3 linked regions of the Oryzias latipes genome follow. The protein of the gene in region 3 purifies or fractionates together with the protein of the main gene of each other region. This does not show direct contact. Links are inferred from orthologs where the notes say so. Each region holds a gene or a part of one and is shown on either strand. Other genes may lie near its edges.

Evidence for each region. The genes of interacting proteins can lie anywhere in the genome.
Region 1: the proteins of heat shock protein beta-1 (region 3) and death domain-associated protein 6 purify together in Homo sapiens (affinity purification with western blotting; 3 studies listed by BioGRID and IntAct, with this or other methods). This does not show direct contact. The link is inferred for Oryzias latipes from reciprocal best matches to the Homo sapiens genes HSPB1 and DAXX.
Region 2: the proteins of heat shock protein beta-1 (region 3) and tgfb1i1 purify together in Homo sapiens (affinity purification with western blotting; 3 studies listed by BioGRID). This does not show direct contact. The link is inferred for Oryzias latipes from reciprocal best matches to the Homo sapiens genes HSPB1 and TGFB1I1.

What each region holds. Positions count from the first base shown.
Region 1 is NC_019869.2:16,000,351-16,005,839, reverse strand, and holds the start of death domain-associated protein 6, read right to left. Parts: upstream 3,301-5,489; 5' UTR 2,999-3,300; intron 1,644-2,998; 5' UTR 1,616-1,643; coding exon 1,373-1,615; intron 1,010-1,372; coding exon 608-1,009; intron 489-607; coding exon 357-488; intron 285-356; coding exon 168-284; intron 84-167; coding exon 1-83. UniProt on the Homo sapiens protein: Transcription corepressor known to repress transcriptional potential of several sumoylated transcription factors. Down-regulates basal and activated transcription.
Region 2 is NC_019877.2:7,459,489-7,464,849, forward strand, and holds the start of tgfb1i1 (transforming growth factor beta-1-induced transcript 1 protein), read left to right. Parts: upstream 1-2,061; 5' UTR 2,062-2,297; coding exon 2,298-2,310; intron 2,311-5,361. UniProt on the Homo sapiens protein: Functions as a molecular adapter coordinating multiple protein-protein interactions at the focal adhesion complex and in the nucleus. Links various intracellular signaling modules to plasma membrane receptors and regulates the Wnt and TGFB signaling pathways.
Region 3 is NC_019870.2:13,681,326-13,685,595, forward strand, and holds heat shock protein beta-1, read right to left. Parts: upstream 2,637-4,270; 5' UTR 2,444-2,636; coding exon 2,071-2,443; intron 2,002-2,070; coding exon 1,938-2,001; intron 1,846-1,937; coding exon 1,686-1,845; 3' UTR 1,362-1,685; downstream 1-1,361. UniProt on the Homo sapiens protein: Small heat shock protein which functions as a molecular chaperone probably maintaining denatured proteins in a folding-competent state. Plays a role in stress resistance and actin organization.

The sequences.
Region 1 (5,489 bases), on a different chromosome or scaffold from region 3:
TTGGCCCGCAGAACCTGCTGGAGGATGTCTTGATAATCCGGAGGGTTCTTCTGCACCTCGGGACTGTTGATGAAGCGCTGGATCTAACAAAGGAGGAAAAGATAAACGAGGAACTGGGAGGTTATGTTCCAAGATATTTAGGGAAACCTTTAAAGCCGTCAGCTCACTCTCTTGTTGATCTCAGGGTATCGAGTGCTTTTGTACTCGATCCTCTCCTCAATGGCTCGGCCCGTTAACGTGTTGCAGCCCTTCAGTTCACACAGCTTTTCATAGATCTTCATCAACTGGGAAAGAAATGAATGCCTGTTACCAAACACCGTTTGACCTTTTGTTCCACAATCAGATGTGCATCAGACCTTCCGCTTCAGCTTGTGCTCCTGGATGTAGATGGAGTCTTCAGCTTCCAAGTCATTCAGGCTAAGCTCAGTTTGCTGCAGACGGAAGATCTCATCGTTGTAAACCTTTAGGAGATTCTCCAGGTACGCGATCTGAGAGGGAGACATGTGCTCCAGATATTTAGTCTGGCATCGTCTGATTTCAGGAATAAAACAAGTACAGGATTAACACTGACTGTCTTTTTTTTTTTAGGTTTATTGTCTGTACCGACCTGTTTCCTTGAGGCCCTTTTAGCTCTTTTTTCCTCTTTTTGATCTTGCTCTTTGTTGTCTTCCTGCACTCCAGAAGTAGAAGGTTGCTCTTCGTCACTCCTCTTCTCACTGTTAGGGGGAACGGAGGTAGACTGAACAGAAGCTGATGTTGAGGTAGAGGGCGCCGCCTTGGAGAGGGTCAGTCTCCTTTTATCCCTGTGCTGTTTGAGCACCGTGCACAGTTCATTGATGAAGACAAAGGTTTTGGAGCGGTTGTTCTGAGCGCGAGTTAGACATCCTTTCAGAGTGTTCCTGAACTCCACAGAGGACAGAAACTCTGGACACGTCTTGGAGTGTTTCAGCTGCAGGTATTCCAGGACCTCCGGGCACTCCTTGGTCTGAGCGGAGCAATGCTCCACAAACTACAGGAAAGACACGAGAGAATCAAACACTGAAGATGAATCATGCAGATCATTACACCTTTCATATTACACCTTTATAAGACTTTTACAAAACAGAAAAAGATTCAATTGTGACTCACAGAGAAAGTCAAACAGATGAACTGTAAAAGCTTTCAACAATTTAACATCTTAAATGTTTCTAACAATCTATTCCGAAGCACATAAAAACATATTTTATCACAAAATATTAAGGAAAAAAACAGTAGATATCAGCAATATTAGCACAAACAAAAACCTGCTGGGTGTTAAAATATTCTTTATTTTAGAAGTTGAAGAAGACCACAGAAGAGAGGGTGGGCTCAGTAAAAACCTGAAGCAGCTCACCTCAGAGAACAGTTTCTGATTCTCAGCTAGAAGACCCTGAGCTTCCTTCTTCCCTGAGACTTGGTGACTTGGGGACATGGCGGCGTGCACGGCCACCAAGTGCTGACCTTTGGGCGGTAAGGCGTTTCTGGAGCCATGATCAGAGGAGGGAGTAGTAGCGGAAAAAGAGGGCTGGGGGCTGTCCTCGTTGTCTTCATCCAGAACTATGATCTCATCTCCCATTGAGGCAGGAGCCACCGCCATCTAAACCCTGACGGATTCTGCTGTGAATCTGCAAACAGGAAAAACACGCTGGTCGTGACAAAAGGTACAGAAGCAAGACGTGGAAGGATTATTGATTTCAAAAATCTATTCATATATTAGTAAATATTGGGGGGTCAGTGGTGAAAAACATTTTTCACAACTTATTTCCTACTGTTTAGTCCTTGTTACAAAAACCAGCAACTAATAATTTATCAGGGGTCCAAAAAAATCAATTTATATAAAAAAATCTATTACTAATTGGCTTATTTTATTTTAAATGTTTATAAACAAACCCATAGAGCCTGAATGGAAGCACAGTTGTCTGTCCAATGAAAACCACAGATATGAACACATGATTATGTTGGTAAAAAGGTATAAAATTCATCAGGAATAAAAAAACGTTGTTTCTGGTAAACGTTGTCAGTTTCTCTTCGTGGTGTGGACTCTACTGTTTTTGCCCTTTTCACGAGTGACCAAAACACAAGACGTCCAATCACAAGCCTGCTTCTATCAATGAAAACTAACTGAACCACAATAAATAAGTGGGATGTTGTGTGCACAAAACTAGCCCTCCTTTTTCCCAGCACCTCTAACAATGTATGAATAAATGAATATGAGATGTTTTAACCATAAAGAACAGAACAGTCTAGAAGGCCCTAAATGCAGGTTTGAATCGTGGAAGCTGTTGAATTTATAGTTCTAAATGTCAAATGAATAATAAAAATCTAGATTTTATTCATTAAAGGATTGGACTGTATTGCCACAAAGCTAGTTATATATTTTACAGATGAAAATCTCAACGCATGGGTCATGATGTACTGAGATGCTGAGAGAGAAAGATACACAACACGGTATCTGGTGAGAATGTGGACAAAAACGTCTCACAGTGAAACAGGATTATTAAAGATCCAAAAAGATAAAAACACTGCAATAATAATCGTCCACACGGCTGCAATGCTGACCTGAAAATACCGAGATGCAGACAAAGAAATGGCACTTTTCTGTTGCCTGATCGACACAAATTAGACTTATTTTTAAGACGAAAATGCTCGGAATGCAAAAATGAAATGGCTCGACGACAAATAGCACTGATGTCTATTTTGCTTTTGATTATTCAACATTAAAAAAAATCTGTCTAGTAGCCTTATCTGATTTACATCAACTTTAATTACCAAAATTTTTTCCTGTTTACTTTTACATCCTGAGTCTGTCTCTCTCGTAGTTTTCTGGTCAACGAAAAAAAATGAAGGCGAATATTCAACAGAACTTAATCTAAAGTGAAAACAAAAGGAAATTTTGTAAAAACTGATCACAAAACATGGCAGATACGGTGCTTATAATTCTGAGAAAACACGACTGGGTGCATATTATTAAAACACTCACCTTTTATTCAGGAACAATAGAAACGTAAATGTTGCTCTTCAGGAACGCACAGCAGTTTTTAAGCTAAGATTAGCAACAGAGCAGCTACTGTAACTTTTCTTGTAAATCCAAACGGAATATAGGAAAAACGGCATGATTTCCTGGTTATTTAACTAACAGATTAAAGTTATTAATACTTCATGGATGCGTTTTTTAGGATAGCAAAGTCTTTTGGCTAATTTAGATCTCGTAAATTTAGCTCCACGAACTGCTAGAAACCGAAAATGTGCCCGCGACACTCAGACCAATGCCAAGGCCTCTCATTGGTGGAAAGAATAAAGATCCAGTAAAAATGTCTGCTATTGGCCAGAGTGGAAGACAACAACACTACGTCTTCTTCTACGGATCTTCCGTTACGATTTGTGAGTACACTCTCCAACAAAACAGACATTTAGTGGAAAAAACAGTGAACTGCAGAGTGTCTGAGCGCTCTAGATCAGTGTTTTTCAACCTTTTTAGAGCCAAAGCACGCTTTATCCTTGACAAAAATCCCGCGGCACATCAGCATCCAACTCATAGTCTGCATGATGTACAGTCCCTCCGCAATCTCACATGCATTTTTGTGATGATTGTGGCAGAAAAAGCTGGAAGTTGCAGCTGTTTTTTCTAAAAGATGTAATAAAAGTATGTCTATTATTTAGCTGCCTACGTAAGCTGCAGTTGTTTTAGCTTTAAATTTCCTCTATTCTAGATTATTTTCTTGCATTCAGACTCCTCATTTGTAGGGCATAATAAAGTGATTTTTAAACCTGGTTAATACCATTACATGTCACACATTTGTTCTCTGCATTTGACTGTGAGCAGCAGACACAACCGTACACAGGAACTGGATTGGATTCACCCCCTTAATGCTGAGTGTCAATTTTTAGAGTCTGTGGTATGACTCGGCCTAGATTTGAATTTACGACGTTCCAGTCATAGGGCAGACACTCTACCACAAGGCCACTGAGCTGGTTAAAACATGGTTAATCATGATGCATATTATGTCCAAATGTAAGAAGAGTTAACTTGGAGAACCACGCCATCAAGTATAATAAACGTTTAGAAATGGACAGATAAAGCACAATTAAAATGACTTCTTACAACCTTTTATTTTTGGAATTTTTACAACAATTTTGTCAACATTTCAGCAGAACTTTGACAAACACACAAAAAAAGACAGACATTCATTAATTGTAATACAATGTACAAATATTCTGGGCTTCCTATTTACAAACGTGCTTTACTTTATTAATTAGGACAGTTGTTTTGCATCTTCAGTGAAACATATTTCTCAAAAAACAAAACAAAACACAGCCTCCAGTCACAGTTTAGAAATCCCCAAAGTGAAACTTGAAGCGTTCTTTCGGTTTTTATGATGTCATGCTTTCAAGATAAGAACATTAAAAGAAAGGGGTGGTCAAATAATTTTCTGTAAAAATGGTACGGTCCAAACCAGCAACCAATCAACCAAAGGCACCAAAGAGCTGGACAGCTGCACATGAAACCCCATCAGAAGTATGAGACACCTTGATGATTTAGTGACAAACGTCTGCTTTGTCATCACTTATCCTGTTGTGAGAGAAATAACAGATGTTATTCACAAGAGTGAAAGACTGTTAACATTTACGTAAATAAATGAGTGAACTTGCCTTGTTGGGTTTAGCAGCCTCATCAGATCCTGAAAACAACGAGTGGAGAAGTCAGGAATGTCTATTTACACCAAAAACTCCCATATGACGGCACATTTAAAACATATTCAATATTTCAGTGAACAATGATGTTGTCTTGGTACCTGAGCTGGTAAAAGTCCATGAAGCAAACTTAATGAGGCCGTAGAGCACCAAGGCCACACCCACCATCGCCATGGAGTCCTCGATGGACGGCGAGCTGAACCCTTCAGGTAAAACCAAAAACACTTTTCAACACTTTTGCTATGAAGGTAAACTCACAAACCCGTCATTCAAATAATTCAACATTTCCATACGTTATATGTTCAGCTCTTTATTGAAAAATGTTAGAATCCAAATAATTCAGAGCGTGTGACGATAAAAGTGAGGTTACCGATCACACTGAGGGTCACGCTGGCCCGCCGCGTGCCGCCACGGTGAACAGCGACGCAGCTGATCTCCCCCCCTCTGCCCAGGTCCAGCTTGGACGTGTCCAGCTGCAGCCGGGTGCTCTGGCTGTAGGTGCCGTCCCAGGCCTGCCGGTGACCCGACATGCTGCCCGACCCCAGGGACCGGCTCTTCCCATCTGCCCCTCTGAACTCCCAGCTCAGGTCTACCGGGAGAGGGACGAAGCCGGAGGCTTCACACTGGATGTTCAAAACCTGACCCGGGACGGCGAGGGGGAGGGGGGACGGGTGGATGGAGAGGGATGGAGGTTCTAGACAAACATGGAAACAAAAAAGCGCATATGGTTCTCCATCAACAGAATCTTTTTTTTCCATCAGGAATGTCTTTTCGATCCT
Region 2 (5,361 bases), on a different chromosome or scaffold from region 3:
ATAAATGTTGATACTCGTGATACATTATTTGGGCTAAAACATCCCAAAATGTAAATATTGTTTAATGTTTTCTACAAAAAAAAAAAAAAACACGTTGCAAAGAAGAGTTCATGGTTTTCACTGACATCAGAGGTGAGTATGGTTGACCCAATGTATACTCTTATAAAGTAAAACCACTAAATGATATGATTTTGAGTAGTAAAATGTAGTCCTTCACATAATAGCCTAAGTAAGGCAGATTAAGCCGACTGTGGGGTGCAGCTGTACTATCACAGGGGGGAAGGTTTGGGTGTACTGAGAGTTTTGGGGTGTCATATCCCTCCAAGCCCCAAAAAATGCCTTGAAAACCACGACAATTTATCAACATATACATTTCTTTTAATCTATTTGATGCGTCTTGGAAATCTTATTGAATGTTCAATGATCCTCCTGAAAACATACACTTTGCATTTACCGGGCTTTGGACAGGCACAAGCAGAGCTTGAGATACGTCGTAAGGCTGCATTTGTTGTCTATTTGTTGTCTGTCTGTCCCTCTATATTTTTTGGGCAGCCGCAGTGCACTGGAAGAGCTGTCGGCGGCTGATTGGACGATCACAGATTCAGTTCATGCCTTGCCCGCCCGGGTGTCCTTGGGCAAGACATGAACACCACATTGTTCCTGGTGGTTATAGGTTGGCGCCAGTGTTTGGCAGCAGAGCTGCCATCAGTGTGTGGACGGGTGAAAGGGGCTGTGACTGTGGGGTTAAACGTTTTTGAATAACTTCTTCCCTGGTCAACTTTTAGACATCAAGAATTCAAATATTTTGATGCGTATTTGAAAACTAAAATCAATTTTTACTTGGAAACAAACATTGAATTTATTGAAAAGACTCACTTGTTACACCCACATTCTGGTGGGAACAAATGAGGGTCTTCTGTCTTTTCTTTATTTTGTCAGATTTGACTAAAGAAGGAAAAATTACTTAAATTATGGAACATAACATACCCTATGAAGTGGTGTCAATCAAAGAATAAAGAAAATTCTGAGGAAGTCTATTTTCTGCCCCTCCCGTGGCCTTTTCTGTCCTGTTTTGTTGCTTTTTTTTATTCTTGACTTTCTTTATCTTCCCTTGATTCTGTTCTTTTTGTTCCTGTTTTGTCCTTTTTCTCTGCACAACAGTTTTGATGTTTAACTTACATTGTTTTTGTGTAAGGTGGTTTTCATATATCTATAGATAGACAGATAGATAGATAGATAGATAGATAGATAGATAGATAGACAGACAGACAGACAGACAGACAGACAGACAGACAGACAGACAGACAGACAGACAGACAGACAGACAGACAGACAGACAGACAGACAGACAGACAGATAGATAGATAGATAGATAGATAGATAGATAGATAGATAGATAGATAGATAGATAGATAGATAGATAGATAGATAGATAAAGGGTCTCTGCTCGCTAACTTCCTGTTAATGAATATTCCACTGATGCAGAGGAACAGGGAAACACGAAGCACTTTCACATGAGCAGTCTTATGCCATTTCAGTGATTTGGGTTTTCTTAGTTACAGTTAATTAATGATGGGCTTAAAATGTATCTTTATAATTGTTCAGCTTTGGGCCCCAGGCACCTTTGCCTTATGGTAAGTCCACCCCATTTGTTATTTTTTTTGTTTTTTTAGTTAATTGTTGATGTTTTTTTGTTTTGTTTTTATTTTTTATTTTTGTTAATCACATTTGTAAGGGGGGGCAGCAGGCATTTGGGGGTATTGCCCTCCTTGCACATGCCTGTATCCGCCCTTGGCATTAAGCTAAAAATGCATTCTATCTCCATGTTTGTGTTTCTCCCACTTCCCCTTAAAACAGCCATAAGTCAGGGAAAAGGGCAAATAGCCGGAGTGGAATTTCCTCTTTATTTCAGCTATTAGTTGAGTGTTTTGACTGGATACGTCATTAAAGCTGAGTTTTCCTGAACAATTCTTTATCCCAAACATGGAGCAGGAATGTCGTTTGACGTCTGCGGGTGTGGAACCGCATTTTCTTCTGCTACGCCCTCTCCAGCCAGCCTCTAGGCATTTACACGGGAAGAGAAAGGGAGAACGAGACGGGACGCCCTCCTCCTCCTCCTCCTCTTTTCTTCCTCCTCTTCCTCCTCCTCCAGTTTCTTGGCGGATAACGGTTTTCAAGAAGTTCTCCAGACAAAAGGCGCAGAGAGAGAGAGGCTGTCAGAGCTGCGTTCATGCAGCCTCTCCACGCTGTCCCTGCTGCGCTACACACAGGACAGAACCGCCGGCGGAGCGCAGATCATGGAGGATTTGGGTGAGTGATCCAGCTGTTTCTCCGTCCATCTTTTTCCAACTACACGTTTAGGAAATCTTGGAGGGATCTGCGGGGAGGACTGGAGCGCCCAACCAGAGGAAATCAGCTCTCTGTTGCTCCTGGCAGGCGCACAGCACAGCTCCTTTCCCCGCAATAACACGCAGGGCTTCAGGGTTTTATGCCATTTTCAGACAAAAGAGCAAGGAAAATTTGTCTCAAACTGCACTTTGGACTAATTACTGTGTGGAAAGTGTGTGTTTACCCCTAAAAGACACACAAGACGTGGACCTGTGCATTACTTTACATCTGTTTCTCCAGCACCGCCTGCAAATCTAATCACATCTTTGAAAATTAGATTGAAGGGAATCCATAATCCATTAATTATCAAGTCAGGGATGGACAGAACATAATGTATAACAGGGTGTCTTCCATTAAGGAGCATATTTTTCCCCTTCATAAAAGACTAAAATAAACTACTATTTGAGGGGGAAAAAACAGAAAAGCTTTTCCTGCTGCCCATTCCATCATGAAGTCCATCTTAGACGTCAGGCACTCAAGCAACATGGCAAAGATGCATATCTGGGCACATCTGGATCAGATCTCACCAAGAGGGGGACTGGCTGAGTGTTTGGGCCCACAGGCTGGGTTCCTGCTGTTGTTTGGCCATGTTGTAAGTTTATGTGGCTGCATCTGGCGAGGCCTAAAAATGAGTGGGACCTCTTGTCGGAGAAAAGCCCTCGGCCAAGACAAACAAGTCGGGAAGCAGTTCTAAATATGGTCATAATTTCCAAGTTCAACTCCTTATATGTGCCGTCTGTCCAAGTCTGCGTGTGTGGAAGAGAAACACACACTCAGCAGGCAGGAAGACGGAGGGAAATATATCTGCAGTATTTTCAACACGCTGTCGAAACAGACATGTGAATCATCTTTGGCAGAGATGACCACAATGCTGCTTACGTTCAGGTCTGTCACACCGAGTGAGTAATGTTCACAGAAAAGAGAGCGTCAGCGATGGCCAGAGACATTTCAGATGGTCAGCGTCACAGTTGGATGAAAGGAACTGGAGTCCGAGCAGATTGGATTGTTTGATAAACGAACTAACAGTGGAATAGAATTGTTGAGGAGGCATGTCCAAAGTTCGGGCCATGGACTACTTGTCCACAGGCTTCTGTCATAAAAAAAGTAAATATTTCTGGTCTCCAAATATGAAATTTACTGTAATTTGGGTAAATATATATGTAGAAATATTTCTGTTTTATGTGATGAAGTAAAATGTCTCAAAACATTTTAATTACATTGTTAATTTGCATGTCATGTTGTTATGAGAGTTCAAAGAATGCTGGCCCCCACACATGTTCACCTCTCCGAATCTGGCCCTCTTTGCAAAAAGAGGAAGAAAAGTTTTATTAGTTTCACTTTTGGAATAAAAAGTAATTGTCTGGGCTGCACGGTGGTTAGCACTCTCACAAGAATGCCCTAGTAGTACAAATCCAGGCTGGGACCTTTCTGTGTGAAGTTTGCATGTTCTCCTCCTGCATGTGTGGGTTTTCTCTGGGCGTTCCTCCCACGGCCCCAACACATGGTTGGAGGTGAATCGGTGCCTCTAAATTGTCCCTAAAGGTGTGCATGTAAATAACTTTTCCCCCAACAGTAGCTCAGTGGGCTCCAGCGACCCCGTGACCCTAAAAGGGTCTCAGTGGGTACTGAAGATGGATGGATGGAAGTTTATTAATCCCTTAAGCCATTTTTAGAATAAAGCTCAAAAAGTTCCTGTTACTTTTCCCCACATTACCTAAAATTACAAAGCAAGGAAAAAGAGTCCATTTGTTTTTGTTTTTTTATTTTGACCCTGTCATTGTCAAAAAACTATGAATTTAACCCCAAAATAACAACAAATCAAGATTCTGGTGCATTAATTTGTAATGCCATAAAGAATTTGACCAGAGAAAAACATTTAGTTAAACTTTTTTCTTTTGTCATGGAACAAGTCATGTTCAGTGGTCTTATTATTATAAATAATTATTCAAAGTGGTCTTTTCCCTTTTTGATCTTTTGGTAATTATTGAACAATTAAGCTTTTTTTTTTTAAATAAACCAGTCATTTACATATTAATTTCCCAAAAAATGTCTAAAGATGCTGCAAAATAAATGAAAATTCTAAAAAATAAATAAAAAAAGTGCCTCTGTGAGACCCCTAATGCACATGGCAGAATATAATAAATGTTTTCAAAATGATTACTATTTGATTACTACCCCGATTCATTTTTTCATTAATATTATTTTGGTTTCAAAATCATGTCGGCCAATCCTAATCACATTCGGAAGTTTATAGCTCAAAATACCTTTGCTCTAAGAAAGAAAATGGTTTGAAAGTGGTGCTATAGTTGCTGTAAGTGATCTACTTTGATCAGAATTTGTTGATCTTGTGACTAAAGGCTTTTGTCTGCAAAACCTTTTTCTGAGGTGAATAAGATATGCATCATTTCCTCTAGGAGTACTGGAAAACAAAAGAATAATCAATTATTTATTTAATATTTTAGAGATACTGCAGTCTGAAAAAAATAAAAATAAAAATCCAAACCATGATACAACCCTCACTGTGCTTTGAGGATGGGATCCTTTTTTATTTGGGAAAACACAGTGCTTCCTTTTTTGACTTATTTTTTATTTATTAATAAAAAAAAACCTAATGATTTATTTGCACCAGTGGGTTTCTACGTTCTTATCCTTGTGTTTTTCTGGTAGTGCAGTGTTACTGCAATAACGTTCGGTGCTCCAAACTGAAGGAATGTGATTGGGGAAGGCTGCTCTTGGACTTCACACCCTTTACTGAAGCTTACAGTTTAAAATTTAGCGCCCTGCTTTGCACGAATATGATGATGCCACGCTGCTGCAGGGACGTGTTTGGTTTCTGGAGTGAGTGTTTGTATGGGAGGGGGTGGTTTCCTGGCAGACGTTGGATATCAGGTGCCAAACACTCTTCCTCCTCGATGCGTGTTCTGATGACCTCAGTGCGGGCTGTCTCCTGAGCGATAGCCTTCCTCCCTGTCG
Region 3 (4,270 bases):
GATGTTTTGCTCCTCTGTAAGATGGGGCCGTGATTGGTCTGAAACCTTTAGGGGAAACTTCATTAGTGAACTACATTATGTAAAAAATCTATAAATGAACCACTCTAGAAAAATAGGAAATTAGTACTTGAGACCTAATAAACTGGCATTTTCGAATTGTATTTACTTTAAAAAGCAGCTGGAGCCAGCATGACAAACACCTCCAAAAGCTTAATCAACTATTTCTGACTATGCTTTGTTTAAAGCTGTCTACTGGACTTATCCCAATGTATTGAGCTGTGATCATTTAGGAGATAAGCCAACATTAAGTTAAGCAGAAATGCAAGATACTTATAACAAAGCATCCATTTCTGGAGGATCTTCCAAGCTGTGCAAAACATGAAATGATTCTCCTGACGTTTTTCAATTTCATGTAATGCTCCTTTTTTAACAGTAGATGTCACCGTTGTGCTTTTGATTGGCTATTCCTTGATTAGCCCTTGTGCTATCTTAGATGACCCCACCCTTACATTGACGTGTTCTTCCTACCATAACAAAAGTGGGTAAAGGTGGAAAGATTTCATGTAATCCATCACAAATCATTGAAGAAAAAAGGTTCAGCGCACTGTCTGGTGGGTCTAGATGACCCATCTCCCAATGTTAAAGTGCCTAGGATAGCACAAGGGTTAGATTAGTTTGTTGCGTCACTTGCACTGATCTTTTTCTTTTCATAGTAAAAAAATAATAAATAGTTAATGTAGAATATTTTTTATTATTTTTTTATTATTTATTAGGAACTGATAATGACCTTATGGTGTTGTATAGATAATTTGCTAAAATCAAGATCAGCATAAATAGTGAACTTTGACCTTTTGTACTTAAAGAGAACTTTAAAGGGGGGGGAAAGAGCAAAACTAATTTAATTTTAAGTTTGTCTTTTTATTAATATTAGATTTGTTTTATTTTTGTTTTATATAACTTTGGAGTGCTGTCTCCATTTCCCCCAAATTAAGGTAGAGTTTTTAAGAGGTAAAAAAATTAAGTTAAGTCTTTAAATCTTTATTAAATTTGCAGTTAAAACTGTTTTACAAGGTAATGATATAATATTTTCAGAAACCTCGTACAAACAATATCATACTTCACACCGTTTTAAATTTAGTAACAGTAAATTTTTGCTGCACAGCTACAAAAAGACTTTTTTTGTCTATTCTTTTTTCCGTGTCCTTGCCTAAAATATTGATCCTTACAATATACTGTTAGTTATTATGGGTTGTAAAAAATTGGTGACCTCTGACCTGTTTTTAGGTGTAAGTTTTCATGTTAAAAAAAAGTTTGAGCTGCAAGAATGAATATTGTGACAAAACCACAATCTGTGAAAGAAATGTATTTTTACCAAATTTTATTTCTGTTTCATTGTGAAGGCTGAAATTGCATAATACAATCATTCTACAAGAACAGTAAGATAAAGACCAGTTTATAGTAAACAAAATTTTAGTGCAAAATTACAAAATTAAAAAGGACAGCAAGGGTTTGTTTTATTGGATCCAATACCATTTCTGCTTTTTATTAAGTTTAAATTAGATTATAAAAGTCTCAAATCTCCCAAAAAGCAAATGATAACATTAAATTTAAGCAATCTAGTCTGCTTTGTGTAATTTTAATAATTGCTGCTATGCACAGTTTGAGCTACTTTCTGCTCACTATGTTCATTTCTCACTGTCCTGTGTCTTTTTGGTCTGAACGGGGATGACGATCTCATTGTCCGGGCTGCTGATGGATGTTCCTGGGACGGGAGCTTCTACGGACAACATTCCTTCTGAGGACAGGGATGAGCTGATGTGCTGCAGATTCACCCCTTGTGGTAACCTCGAAAAAAATGAGAGAACGTTTGTCACAAACAGAAATATGTTACGGTCGCATCCTAAATGTGTCTCGAATTTGCTTCTCAGCCTCCTTACTTGTATTTACGAGTGAAACATCTTGAAACCAAACTGTGTTCATCTTGCTTTTCTTCATGAGTTCCTTAAAAAAAACAGTAATTATTAATAAACATCTTTATGTATAAAATGAAAAAAAATTAAGCCTACGTACCTGATATTTGCAAGTAGCCATCCTTTGTGCTGATGGAGATCTCTTCGGGTGAAAAATGATTGACGTCCAGGTTGATCTTCCAGCTGTTTTGCCCCGTTCTCACCTCAGACACACCGCTAGTCAGTTGTCTCAGACTCTTCTGGTCCGGCGTGATGGGAGGCAGGAGGGGGCTTTGCGTGTAACCCGGCCAGGAGAAAGAAGCCAGTCTCTTTTTTGCCCAGTCAAGCCAGTCCAGATCATTGGGCTCCAGGAAAGGAGGAATGCCGAAGTCCTGGGCAAAAATACGGCTTGGCTGAGTCCAGTTTGGGAAAGGATCCCAGCGGACATCTCGACGGAATATGGGCCGGGATAGTGTTTTATTTTGATCACCCATGTGGTTCAAAACTCAAGAAAAGGAGACTGAAAATAAAAGCTCTTGCTCCCACCTGACAGAAAAATGCAAGACGAGATCAGACCAACCAAAACGAAACTCAAAAACTGTAAGTAAGCAGGAGGTTTGGGGAAAAGCCTATTTTGGAGTCCGCAGCAATCCACTCACACGCTTTATATAACCAACGGCCTCCTCTTCACACTTGTGCTTTAACAAGTGTGATGTAAGGGATGAAATGTGATGGGCCGGGGCGTCAACTCTCCTGTTGCCCTGGGACTCGGAGAGGACAATGCCAATTATGTGTATTTATATCTTTTGAGTGTCTCCGGTAAGTTGTTGGGGAATGATTCTGGAAGCAGGGAGAAGTCGTGTCATTCAGCCATGGCCTCTGCAGTCCCGTCACATACTGGAGCTCTTTGTCCACCGAAACCACAGCTGCATGTGAAGCAGCACACAAAAAGTCAAACGGTAAACACAAGCGTTGCTTTTAGCCTCCCAACTTAACTTAAGAGCAAAACTGCAGAGCAAACAGGATCTCAGGGTGAAGAAGATAAAGACGTGTTTACAGCTGGTAAAAACAGATGGAGAGAAAGACTATGGAGTTCTGGAGCTGGTGTGGAATTTCACAGAAACATCTTCATGGGTTCAAAAAATAAACCGAGCTTGAGTGAGATAAATTATCTGAGGAATGGCATTTATCAGGGAGGCAACGTGAATATTTCTGAACTCTGCTCATAAACATTTCATTGTTTATCAGGTTTTAATGTTTGACACACCAGGTTACAACAGACTTGATGTCAGTCTGCTTAAGAATGTTATTAAGCACATGTTAAAAGAAAATATTGCCTGAAGTTTAGCTGTGCTATTGCTAGTTTACTAATGAATATAAAAAAGTCTAAAGTGTGCAATCAATGAAAATATGAGCATAGATCAGTTTAAAGGTGTTTTAGGGTCATCGAAAGGAAAACGCTCTTCAGTTGTAAATCCAAAAATTCTTGGAAATAACCCAGAGTTAATGTGTGTGATAAGAAACCAAATAAAGTGAATATACTGTAACATTTTACTGTAGCTCACAAGTGCATTGGCCTCTGTAAAATAGTGTTATCATCCAGCTAATATGTATTTGTGCATTTGTGTGCAATACTTATGGTTAAGGTTAGGGTCAAAGTAAGGGCAAACTTCACTAAAGTTTATTTTACAAGCTTTGCATAAGTGTCTTAAATTGCAGAGTGTAAAAAAACTGGTAGATATACATATAGCAGCCAGATGCTAATGATGTGATGGATTGGCAATGTGCAAATACCTATTTTGATGTCAAACATTAGATGGAATCCGTTTTTTATCACTTAAAAATTAAAAAGAATACACTTTCTACTAATCAAAAAAAGGCCAAAAAAAAAGCTGGAATTTTAAAGGTTAGTGCATCAATACAATGTTATGATTTTATAAAGGAAATTTTCATTTGAATTTGAACTTCAAACCATCAGAAACTAACTTATTTTATTCTATCCTGTGTTTTGTGTTTTCCCAAAATTCAAAGTCACCAGAAAGTTTAAGTTATTAACAGCCACAGCTGTTTGTTTTGCGGTTAATTAATGGTCTGGTTTTATATTTGGTTTTGTCAGGTCCTGTATTTAAGCACCATTTAGTTTTTGTCTGGACTATATATGATTTTATTTTATGGTTGTTGCTTTAATGGCAGGCTGTTGTATTCATGCCAAAATTCACAAATTCATGTTTTTCGTTTCCTCCTCATGTCAATCTTCTGCATTTAGGCCTTCCACCACCAATTATGATAACTTTCTTGAGGCTTTGGAGCAATTCTTCTGA